Oryzias latipes: one gene and its partners. The protein of the gene in region 3 interacts with the protein of the main gene of each other region in a pairwise test. Links are inferred from orthologs where the notes say so. Each region holds a gene or a part of one and is shown on either strand. Other genes may lie near its edges. The genes, in order: mtmr9, sec24c and mos.

Region 1 (4,411 bases), on a different chromosome or scaffold from region 3:
TGAAGCAGATTGTCAGCAAGTCTCTCCAGCAGGTCAATTTACACAAAAGCAGAATCATCAAATGAAAAAGAACATTAGTGGCCTGACCTGTCAATACACTGGGCAGCCAGGCAGGCAGTTGTGAGGATTTCCCTGACATGAGACAGCCAGTTGGACGCCTCTAGCTTGCTCAACCAGCGGTCCATGCTGTGGGACTGATCATTACAAGCCTCCACCAGTTTTATCAGGCTCTCCTGGAGGACGTTATACCTAAAAATGAACACATTTTATCGAATTATAACACAAATAGATAAAGCAAAAACAAATATCTCCTTTAAGATAGAGATCTTGCTATGAAACATTTACAAAATCATCACTGGATCAGCTGCAGTCCTTCAATCACCTCTCAATGGATTTGTGGATCCTCCTCCACTGTGGGTAGTTTGCCTCAGACTCAAATCCCCCCCCGCGAGCTTTGGCCTGCTGGGCAACATTAATGGTGCGAGTGTCAATGATGTAGCCGCGCTTTCCAGGCCTCAGAGTGGCATTGATCAGTTTTTCGTCTTCCTTACACCGCCTCCCGTTGGTCCCCGCCAACGGCTGTCCGGCTCGCATCATCACCTGAAGACAGACATCAGGATTTTTAGGAGGATTCGCTGCTATTCCCTCAGGCAGTGTCATATCTTCGATCCATTCTAAGCGCACTTACCATGCCGTTTTTGCTGTGATAGTAACTAAGCACTGGGAAACGGCCGCCGTGGCGAAAGGTGGCAACTTTCCTCAACGCGTCATCGTCGACGTCTTTGGGTACCACCACAAGAGAGGGATATGACGAGCACACGCTAAAATCCTTATTGACTTCACTCAGCCTCCACTCATCGGTCTAAAAGAGGGAACGATACGTTAAAAAGAGGGAGAGGACTCGTCTGAGTCAGTAAAATGACACTTGTCAGATTTAAGCGGACCATGGACTCCAAGCCTTTAAATGCATTCTGTGGAAGAAAAGAGTTCCATCCATCCTCCAGGACCTCGAACATGGGCCGGTAGAAGAACGGATACATGAGGGAGACGGAGTCAAGAGTGGACAGGGCCTAGACGGGACACAAAAGCGACAACATGTTAAGCCATATTGCTTAATAAACCAAATCCAATGAAAATTGTGTTTTTGGTGTTTATTACATGTTCTTGTGGCATTTTTCTGATGATGGAGGACATATATATTTGTAAAATTCTTATTAAAACTGTATTTCTCAATATTCATATATTCAAATCACGAAACAGGAGCAGACAAAAAATGCAGTGTTTGTGATGTAGAAAATACAGTTGGTGCATCACAAGCTCTTTGCTCCGCTCAATTCTGATGCATCGAGTTGCAGACAAATAGATCTTTGTTTTCCTCGTCTGAGCTGGAATCTGGTTCAAAACTGTACGGCTGGATAGTTACAGTATTGCTCGCTATTTATTTTTTTTGCACAGCTAATGTTAAGGTTGGGGGTGTGAGGGGCTGTAAGCTAGGGGGAAGAGTGTGCAAACAGATAGGTGATGGGAAGTGGGAGTGGGGTTGCTGCACGCCTACAGTCCCGCAGACAACTCAGAGGTGAATTTCTAGTGAACTACTGCCACTCTGCAGAAACTAAAAAAAATGTGTCTAAAAACAGCATAATTGTCGTTAAAACACCACTGGGAAAGCTTTTAGAATAGATCAAAAGATGATTGGGACTTTAATCGCATGGATTATCGAGCTAGAGTTTGCAATAAAAAGGAAAAAGAAAAAAAAAACTCTGGGGCATCATTAAGGCTTTTTACCTCAATGGAGCTGGCGATGTTCAGGCATTCCTCCATGCCGGGGATGTCGAGCTGAATCACTCTCAGGTCTTTGCATTTGACGATGATGCTTCCCAACGACCCAACAAACCTACAAGAAGGAGCAAATTGTTAAACAAATAAATAAATAAAGTTTCGCAGAAGGTTGCCATCAGAGGACAAAACCCATTTAAAAGGAAAACGTGTAGATAAGCGTGTTAAGGTCTGCACTGATTCCATTACAAAGTCTCTTGTTTTGTTCAAACACTTAATATGTTTTGATTTTTGTCTTGATTTTTAATAACCTGAAGTACATACGATCGTGCTTAGATTACCCCAAATGTAAAGATAAATGCTATTTAGTTTTCCCCAAAAAATGTTTAAAAATGACTAGCACATCTGCATCTGTCATAGCAAGGAAGTACCAAAACATTGTCTGTTGATCTTGATGGAGCATCAAATAAAGACCATGCAAACAAACTGAACAGGAAACAGATGTTAAAAGCTGTCAAAACAACAGGAAGATGCTCAACTATGAATGCAGCGTCACCTCTTCTCAATGGAGTCGATGTTTGAATGAAGCAGCCACAGCTCCTCCGTGTTGTCCTGTCTGGAGGAGAGAATTAGATGGTGGCCAGTTAAACAAAGAGTCCCTTCCACGTTGGGCATGAAGGGCCGGTGCAGGACAACGCCGTCCGCTCGGGGAGTTTTGATCAGCTCTGCGAACTCCATGACTGTCAGGACACAAAAGTATGCGCACAAACACACTGGTTACTCAATTCAACAGGACTTATGTGGCGTTTCACTGCAAACTAACCACAGAAATTGATGTTGGAGATAAACTGCTGCCAGACTGACGAGTCACTGAATCAGGAAGCAAAGTGGCTAACATTAGCTAGCAGGCTAATTGTGCAATAAATCCATGATTTTCTTTAGACGTGATTTGTGTCACCATAAATATTGTTAAACGTTTAAAGTACGTCTATGCTATTAATTTTTGCAGCCACGTTTTCCACGAACGCGAAAAAGGTTTGTCAGACACTTACCTGATCCTGTTTTGGGGCTTTCGGACAGCTGGGTAAATATTCCGAGCGCACCCCACCGGAAACGTCTCCCGGAAATGTCTTTTTCCCAAAAAACTTTATTAACACAATACAAAACAACAGATAGGAGAAAACACTACTGTGCAACTATAGCACATCAAAAATATGCATTACAGTTCAGAGTTTTATGTTTTGTTTTTGAACATAGAATAAATGGCACGTTTTGTTTTAAATATGCTGCTTCTTTAAAAGATGAAGTGTTCTTGTAGCCTTCGCATGTGTTCTTGTTTTGTAAGAGGACTTAAAGTCCTAATAATAGATTGCAGTAAAACAAGGTTGTAAGCTGGACCATTCACATTATGAATATGGTATTTCCCAAAGATAATCAACAGTTGAATTATAAAAATGACATTTTTTGATAAGCCATGTAATTCAAATATAACATGACATAAAAAATATTAATTTTGATGTCTAGATTCAATTTTGTGATGAATAATTCTTCCAAATCCGACACAATTTATTTGTGTAGATACAAATAAATTGCAGAATGGCTTCCCTTCTTGACTGGCAAAAAACACAAGATTCTTTGATCCTTATTCTAAATTCTGTAATAATTTGATATGACATTTTAAATGAAACTTCTTTTATTTCGTTATTAATGCAGTATTTATGAACAGGAGAAATAGCATTTTCCTGATGTAGGTCACCCATGGTTGAAAACCAAAAAAGCTTTACAGCAGGTGGAACTGAACGAGAAATCTGATTGAACTATATGGTGCATCCTTATTGTGATGTCCACATCTCCAATAAAAACTCTATTGATTTCAGCTCAATCAAGTTTTAATGATATATGTTTTAGAAACTGAAAGTTTTAGAAACTGAAGGGAGATGGTACGATTGCATCGAATACAACGGCATATTCTTTCGGTGTCACTGGTAAGCCAGAACTCTGAAGAAATTCTGAATATGACATGAAAAAATCATAGTTTAGTAACTGACCTACCAACAGTATTCCTCTGTCAAACCATGAGCAGTAAAACGATTATTGGAATTATTATTAATTATTGGATTAAAGGAATTCTTTGCAAAATCCTTTGCAAAAAAACAGAAAAAACAGTTGCTAATAAGAGATCTGGACTGAGCAACCCCCCCCCCCCCCCCCCCCCCCCCCCGCGTACCAAATAGGGAGTACCTGCTGGCTCCAAGAAGCCAAAATCCCATAGACTTCTATAGATAATAAAACAGCTATTACTCAGTCATTTTATTTGACAGAATGACAATTCTTGCTCTGAAGCTTGTTTTTAACATGTTCTTGTTAATCCTAACTTTTTTCATGATATTGTTGCTTAAGCACAGGTTCCTCAAGGTACAAAATGACCAATCAGATGCCTGAATAAAAGCACTCGGACCAATCACTGCTTAATGTCGTCGTCTGGACTTATTGGATGTACCTATACATTAAATGAAATTGCATATTAAGCTGATGTATGGCATCAAACTCTCTGCCTGTGCAAATCAGTGAAAGTTGATTTGCTGTGGCAACCCCTGAAGAGATATGTAGATGTATAAAACATTTTACCTGACTA
Region 2 (3,650 bases), on a different chromosome or scaffold from region 3:
CTCAACAGCCAATCAGTTCTCTCCCCCCCACCTCTCAGCAACGGTTCGTCTCTCCAGGTCAACCTCAGCATACTTTTCCTCCCTCCTCCACCTCCTACGCTGGTCCGGCCCCTCCACCCACTCAACCTGCTTCTACCCCAGTGACCCAGACACAGCCGCCCTTCCTTCCACATCAGCCCCCTTTCTCCTCAGCACCTGGTGGTCAGCCCCCTGCTTTCACCACTGGGCCACCCCCACCCGCCCAGGGATCCTTCCCACCTCAAGCGCCCCCACCTTCATCACAACCAGGTTCCTTTCCTCCTCCCTCCTCAGTTTCCTCTGGGCAGTACCCTAGCTCTATGCCGCCACCACAGCAGCCTCCTCAATCTCAGCCACCCACCTACCACCCAGGCCCCCCACCTCCCCAAGCCCAAATGCCCCCCACATCCATTGGTCAGAGTAACCATCAGCCTCCAGGACCCCAGGGCCCGCCAAGCCCTACAGGGCCTCTTCAGCAGCCTCCTCTTCAGCAAGGGATGCAGACTGGTTACCCTCCGCAGCATAATGGTGAGAAGATGATTAGAAAGAGATATCAGTGAGAAAGGATTCCTCAGCATGACTCATCAGTTGTGGTGCCCTCCTCAGGTGCGTTTGGGCAGCCAAGAAGCCCTCAGCCTGGTTATGGAGGTCCTTATCAAGGACAACCCAACTACGGAGCTCCAGCTCCAACTCCACAGGCCCAGAAAAGACTCGACCCAGACGCCATTCCAAGTCCAGTAAGCCACCTTAGTGCATGTACTGTTCTCCCACCAATGTTCTGGTTCTGACCCGTGCACCACTTCACTGTTTTTCTAAGCTCCATAAATTAAACTGAATCCTTAAGCAGTTGAGCAAAGGTGTGACAATATTTTAATGACTGGTGACAACTTCAGAATAAAGATTCCTAATTTAAATACTATCAGTTTTTCCTTTCAAAATAAACATCTAGCTGTCATAGGATTTGTGATTTTTATATCGATTTTATCAAATACATAATCATCTTAGTTTTGAGCCAGATTTTCTTGGAATATAATGTACTTTTGAAAAGTTAGGACAACATCAAAATGTTGTTTTTTTTTTGTGCTCAGCTTGAAATACCACCATGGACTGAATCTGCTTTGCTGCTAAATTTAAATCTAATTTAAATCTACTTACACTCAAACTGCTGAAGCTCTAATCTATAACCAGCACTGACCTGTTTGTGAGATTCTGAGCAGTCTTGCTGTGGCCTTTCTTCTCTCGTACCTTTTTTTTGTAATCTTTGTATTTATTTATTTTGTCCTGTTCACACAAATTTGCTGGACAAACATTTGAATATAAAGCAAGCATCTGACATGCCGCCTGTGCAGAAATCAAGACATAGAATAGACCCAGATGCTATCCCCAGCCCAGTAAGTTTCCTGTGTGCTTGTCTTCGTTCTCTTCATCCTGTCACTTCTGCCTGGTTGCACTACACCCCCTCCCCCCTCCGTGCTTTTCTGCTCCCCCCCGTACCCCCCGATAAATTTGGTAAAATGGACCACCAGCACTAAACCTGAGATGTGTGTCTAAACAGTTTCAGACTCAACGTTTTCCAATTCAGAGGACTTTTCTGTTGTATGGAAGTTTGTTTGGGTTAATTTGAAGACAAAGTAACATTGTGACAGTGTTAATATGACCAATAAATACATTGATCTACAGTTTAACAGTACAAAGCTGTTCAAGGTGGGCCTTCTTTTGACTGAGGCAGAGTTGGAGGTTAAGGTTTGTGTCTTGGAGTTGCCGGCAGGTGTAGCTGCTGCACTATCTATTTTACATAGCGGCTTAGAACAGCTGACAGATCAGGCAGTAAAGAGTTGCTGTGTTTGTTCACACGCTGCAAGGAGTGATCGAGGAGTTTCCTGCTCTGCATCGCTCTACAGGGCCGTGCAGAGGTGTTGCAAGCTAGAAATCAAGCTAACCTGCCTTTCCTGAACAGCAAAGCACTGCTCATAACGCAGCTATAATGGCCACGTTTTGGCCAGATCCTTGTTCGCTGCTAAAGCTCGCCAGGCTGGATGTAGATGAAGAACATCCGGATGTCCTGAAGCGTCCTCCTAAATACAGGAATAGAATCTTGTGTGTCTGCTGTAGATGTTAATGAGTCCATCAGGATGTGGGGAGTCTCTTTAGCTCGATATGCTGGATCTAAAGCTGTCCTTGGATCCGCCTTGATGCAGATTTTTCCAATGCTCTAGTGGATTGGAAGTTTGTTCTAGATGGTTGGGATTTCAACATTTCAGTTTAATTCTGAAATTCTGAAAAAGTCATTCCTGATGGGCTGTCAAACTAGTTTTCCCTCTTAGAAAGTATTTTCCCAAACGTCATACTGTTTTGTTTCGTCTTTTTGTCTTAGAGCTGACATTGACAGATTGAATTAGATGGTTAAAAATAGTGCGCATTTCTTACTACAGCTTGTGTGTTTATTGGGGAGATGCAGCTCCTTGTTTTGCCTCCTTGACCTAAAACATGGATTGATCCTCCTGTTCTGAACCCTGCATGCCAGCTTGCAGCATTTAACCTGCTCACAGATCCTTGTATTGAAGGCTCATCTTTACAACCCTGTTCTGTTCAAAGGATTTGGTTTTGTGACTTTGTCGACAGTGTGAGCATGACCCTTCACCCTGGCTCTTCCCAATGAGAAATCATTGTTTCTGTTGAAGATGTTACTAATCTGCATGCGGACTCTCCTCCTGCATGGCTGTTTCATGTTCCTCTTTTAGGCGGGATGAGATCTGGGCTGGGACAGTGTGTCTGTACCTCTGGACCTTCACTCCAGGTTGAACTCTCGTGTTGCTTCTCGTTTATCTAGATCCAGGTAATAGAGGACGACAAGGCCAAGACCACCGAGCCGTTCACAACAGGGGTCAGGGGTCAGGCTCCGCCTCTTGTCACCACCAACTTTCAGGTCAAAGATCAAGGTTTGTTCCACTTTTCTTGCTCGTTCATCCAGTCAGGGTTTGAATCCCTGTTTACCTCTAAGCCCAACCTCTATCTGAGGGTTTCTAAAAGGACTCATTATAGCCACAGGTAGGATGTTTAAAGAATTTAATGAGTAATGATGCTACATTATCATCTAAATCAATTTAAATATAATCCTTTAGAATGAAATTAAAAGTTGAAAAGTCTGTAAACTGTGTAAGAGTTTTAAAACATCTATAAATATTGTAAAAATAAGGATGTCTACTTTGCTGATTTCACCTAACAGGTTATTTTTAGAAGGTGATTCCTGCGATAAACATGGGAACTAACTGATCAGAAAAAACGTTATTTATTTGTTTTTACCTGGTGTGGCTGTGAAAGAAACACTCATGGATGACCTGCTGGTTTGTAGGGAACGCCAGCCCGAGGTTTGTTCGCTGCACGGCTTACAACATGCCGTGTACCGCCGACATGGCAAAGCAGTCCCAGGTGCCGCTGGCTGCCGTCATCAAGCCCCTCGCCATCCTGCCGCCTGATGAGGTCGGTGCTTTCCCCTTCTCTTAATTTTCTGAGCTGGAGCTGGACTTTTTGTTGCATCCCTTTTTCAAACAGAGGAAAGTTTAAGTCTGGGTGCGGCGAATGAAGTCTTTTATGGATTGTCACCGCTTGTTCTTCAGGAATGAATCACACTT
Region 3 (3,398 bases):
GATGGGCTTTCTCGGATTTACAGAATCATCTTCAAAGGAATTACTGGAATAACTGGGAGAAATTGATTTCTTAGTCATTTTTCTGCTCCATACTTTTATTTTTTCAAATACATCCACATTTTAAGTATGCTCATGAAAAGAAATAGAAGCCATAATGCAAAAAGTCGCTAAAATAGTTTATATGAACAAACTTTGACTGAAGTCCATTGAGAAAAACAATTTACAAAACTGATAACAAATAGAAAAAAATAAAATGGACAACAAATTTTCAGATCAGGTTCTTTATTGATGGAATAACTTAATAAAAATCACACTTAACATGCCTGTTTGATGAAGTCTGCATTTATGTCGTCCTCCTCGCGTCTTTCTTGGACGTGGTACACTTGGCCGACAGTCAGTCTGATAATAAGCAACCATGTGGTTTGCTGAGGGACTGATATCTGTCTACCAGTTTACCTCTGAACCAATCCAAAACGGTTCCTCTGATTGTCCAACTTTTTAATTAATGCTTTACGAATAACTATTTCAAATGCTTTTCTTAAATTGATAAATATTCCCACTTCAGATTTCTTTTTTTCTTTCATCAGATCAGTTGAAGTCCAGTTTAAATGTCGTTTTATTCTATCAATGACTGTGTTTTCTATTATGGGTTTGAGCAACACAGTGATATTTGTATTCCCACTATCGTCTGACTTTTTGTGTGCATCTGTTGCCTTCCATCGCAGCATTCACAAAAAACAGCAACATGTGCTTCAAACCAAATCATTTTCCTGGAAAAGCCATCAGTTATCCAAAACCGTACAGGCTGACTTTGTCTGATCCATCTATAGTTTGGTCCCTGACGAACAAACGTCCTTCCAAACCCAGGAATCTGAAAAATTCCAGCTGTGTCCATCAGCTGGATCATTAGCAGCTCAGCTTTAGACATCCACCATTCTGGTGCATCCATCTTCCACACCAAAAAACACCGTGAGGTGACTTCTTTATTCGGCTGAACAGCGACTCAAAAGCATCCACCTTGAATCATTTCAGTAACTTTTGAACTTTGGCTTTTCTCATTTATTTCAGCAACAACTTTGTGTTTTTCTATAGACATTTTTTTAAAGGTCACTAAGACGTGTGATTTTTTTAAACTGATGCCAGAACAGTTGATGTAAATAGTTTTGAAGAGGTTTTTAAAATAGTAGCACACATGATATGTATTCAAGTAAGTGTTTAAACTTAAATCAAAACACAACCCTGACTCTGTAAGGCTGATTTTGTAAACGTACTTCCTTGGCATCCAGTCACGAGTTTAATGCAACTTCCTGAAGGTGTTTCGTTTGTTTATTTGTTTGTTTGTTGCTGTTTTTTCCCTGTAATTTCCAATAAAGCAGAGGAATGGAGAGCATAACAGGGGTCCCGGTGGATTTCTGACGCCTCGGTATTTTGTCCCTCCTCCTGCGCCATATAAACGCACCTGTGGCGGGCGCGTGAAGACTCAAGCCGCCATGCCTTCTCCGATTCCCTCGAGCCGCTTGTTGCCCAAAGGCCTCTTCCCGAGTGCGGTGGTCGGCGCGTGCAGCAGCCCGCTGGCGCGCACGCAGCACGGCTCCAGCCTGCAGGTGCCCCCCCGCTCCTGCACCTCCGTCATTCATTGGAAGCAGCTGCGCTCCGTGGAGCCCGTGGGCTCGGGCGGCTTCGGCTTCGTGTACCGGGCGGAGTACCTCGGGAGCACCGTGGCGCTGAAGAAGGTGAAGAGGTGCAGCAAGAACACGCTGGCCTCCCGGCAGAGCTTCTGGGCTGAGCTGAACGTGGCGCACCTGCACCACCAGAACATCGTGCGCGTCATCGCGGCCACCACCTCCGCGCCAGGAGATTCGGACGCAGACAGCAGCATCGGGACCATTCTAATGGAGTTCGTGGGGAACCGGAACCTCCAGCAGGTCATTTACGGGACGGCGGAGCCGCTGGAGGGAGCGCGGTGCGTCCGGTACGCGGCGGACATCGCGCGCGGCCTCCGGTTCCTGCACTCCCACGGCGTGGTGCACCTGGACATCAAGCCGGCCAACGTCCTGCTGAGCGGCGAGGACGTCTGTAAGATCGCTGATTTTGGCTGCTCTGTCAAACTGGACCGCGCGCGTGAAACCTGCGCTGACCACCCGCACGTCAGCCTCGTGTGCGGCACCTACACGCACCGAGCCCCGGAGCTGCTCAAGGGCGAGGCGGTGTCGCCAAAGGCGGACATCTTCTCCTTCGGGATCACGCTGTGGCAGCTGCTGACCCGGGAGCCGCCGTACGCGGGCGACCGGCAGCGCGTGCTCTACGCCATCGTGGCGCAGGAGCTGCGGCCGTCGCTGCGGGACAGCGCGGTGTTCGGCTGTGCGCGGGGGCAGCGGCTGCGCGCGCTGCTGGCCGCGTGCTGGAGCGCAGATGGCCGCCGCAGACCCAGCGCCTCTGAACTGCTGGAGCTCCTGCAGCGGCTGCCCTAAACCGGAACGGCACGGATTGGAACCGTTCTTTCTCCATGACTGAAAGCCGTTCCGTTCTCACAGGGAGCTCTTTTACTCACATGTAAATATATTGGATTACTTGTCATTAAAACGTTTCTAGTAGCAAATGTCTGTTTTGTTCTAAGATGTTTGATTCTCTGCTGTTCAGGCCTGAAAGTTTCAGCTGGAGGCTGAAGATGCTGAAACTGCTGTAGCTTCATGCTGAACTAAAGGTGGAAGTTTGCTCATTCAAATGCTGCTGAAGAAACCAGCCTAGTACTAGTACTAAAAGGTCCTTAAGCAAATATGTTGAGTACTGTAAAAAAAAAACTTGAAATGATAAAATGCTGGAACGTTAAAGTTAAGTTATATAATGAACTAAATGATCTTTTAAAAAAAATTAGTAAAAAAATGTGTGGGTTTAATTCAATGGGAAATATTTAGTAAAGAGCTAGTCTTTCTGAATCTGTTCTACAGTAGAAAGATCTGAGTTCGTATGTTCCATATGAATGTGAGGCTGCATCCACGCTGAACATGATTGACGTGGGAGGGGCGTCGTTCACGTTACAACAGCGTTTTTCAACCTTTTTGAGCAAAGCCCTGTTGTGTTCTCCATCTTTGTGTCCATTTTACACAAAAAATGCATGCATTTTATAAACTCGTATGGGGGGGTTAAACTCAGTCACACTGAGGCCTAAATCTAAAACAGGCTTTAGGTTTTGGGCTGAACAACAAACATTTACTGAACACACTAAAGCTAAACTTCTAAACCTTTAAAACTGAACTTTTTGATCATAAATATAAATAAAAACAGGAACATTAATCCAGAATAAATCAAGTTAAACCTTAATGTTTCATATTTCTCCATAAAACTAGATTCTGTTAAAATTATACAAATATGAAGATGCTGCAGAACAAAACAAAGCC

Evidence for each region.
Region 1: the proteins of mos (region 3) and mtmr9 interact in binary tests that used the Homo sapiens proteins (3 or more experiments, as listed by UniProt). The link is inferred for Oryzias latipes from reciprocal best matches to the Homo sapiens genes MOS and MTMR9.
Region 2: the proteins of mos (region 3) and sec24c interact in binary tests that used the Homo sapiens proteins (3 or more experiments, as listed by UniProt). The two-hybrid records come from large-scale screens. The link is inferred for Oryzias latipes from reciprocal best matches to the Homo sapiens genes MOS and SEC24C.

Annotation. Positions count from the first base shown.
Region 1 is NC_019882.2:13,974,804-13,979,214, forward strand, and holds the start of mtmr9 (myotubularin-related protein 9), read right to left. Parts: upstream 2,925-4,411; 5' UTR 2,829-2,924; intron 2,810-2,828; exon of another isoform or gene 2,600-2,809; intron 2,517-2,599; 5' UTR 2,515-2,516; coding exon 2,333-2,514; intron 1,895-2,332; coding exon 1,786-1,894; intron 1,071-1,785; coding exon 945-1,070; intron 863-944; coding exon 689-862; intron 601-688; coding exon 383-600; intron 250-382; coding exon 88-249; intron 1-87. UniProt on the Homo sapiens protein: Acts as an adapter for myotubularin-related phosphatases. Increases lipid phosphatase MTMR6 catalytic activity, specifically towards phosphatidylinositol 3,5-bisphosphate and MTMR6 binding affinity for phosphorylated phosphatidylinositols.
Region 2 is NC_019877.2:12,923,983-12,927,632, forward strand, and holds part of sec24c (protein transport protein Sec24C), read left to right. Parts: coding exon 1-546; intron 547-624; coding exon 625-755; intron 756-1,340; coding exon 1,341-1,409; intron 1,410-2,848; coding exon 2,849-2,957; intron 2,958-3,370; coding exon 3,371-3,498; intron 3,499-3,650. UniProt on the Homo sapiens protein: Component of the coat protein complex II (COPII) which promotes the formation of transport vesicles from the endoplasmic reticulum (ER).
Region 3 is NC_019878.2:1,546,219-1,549,616, forward strand, and holds mos (proto-oncogene serine/threonine-protein kinase mos), read left to right. Parts: upstream 1-1,490; coding exon 1,491-2,471; 3' UTR 2,472-2,871; downstream 2,872-3,398.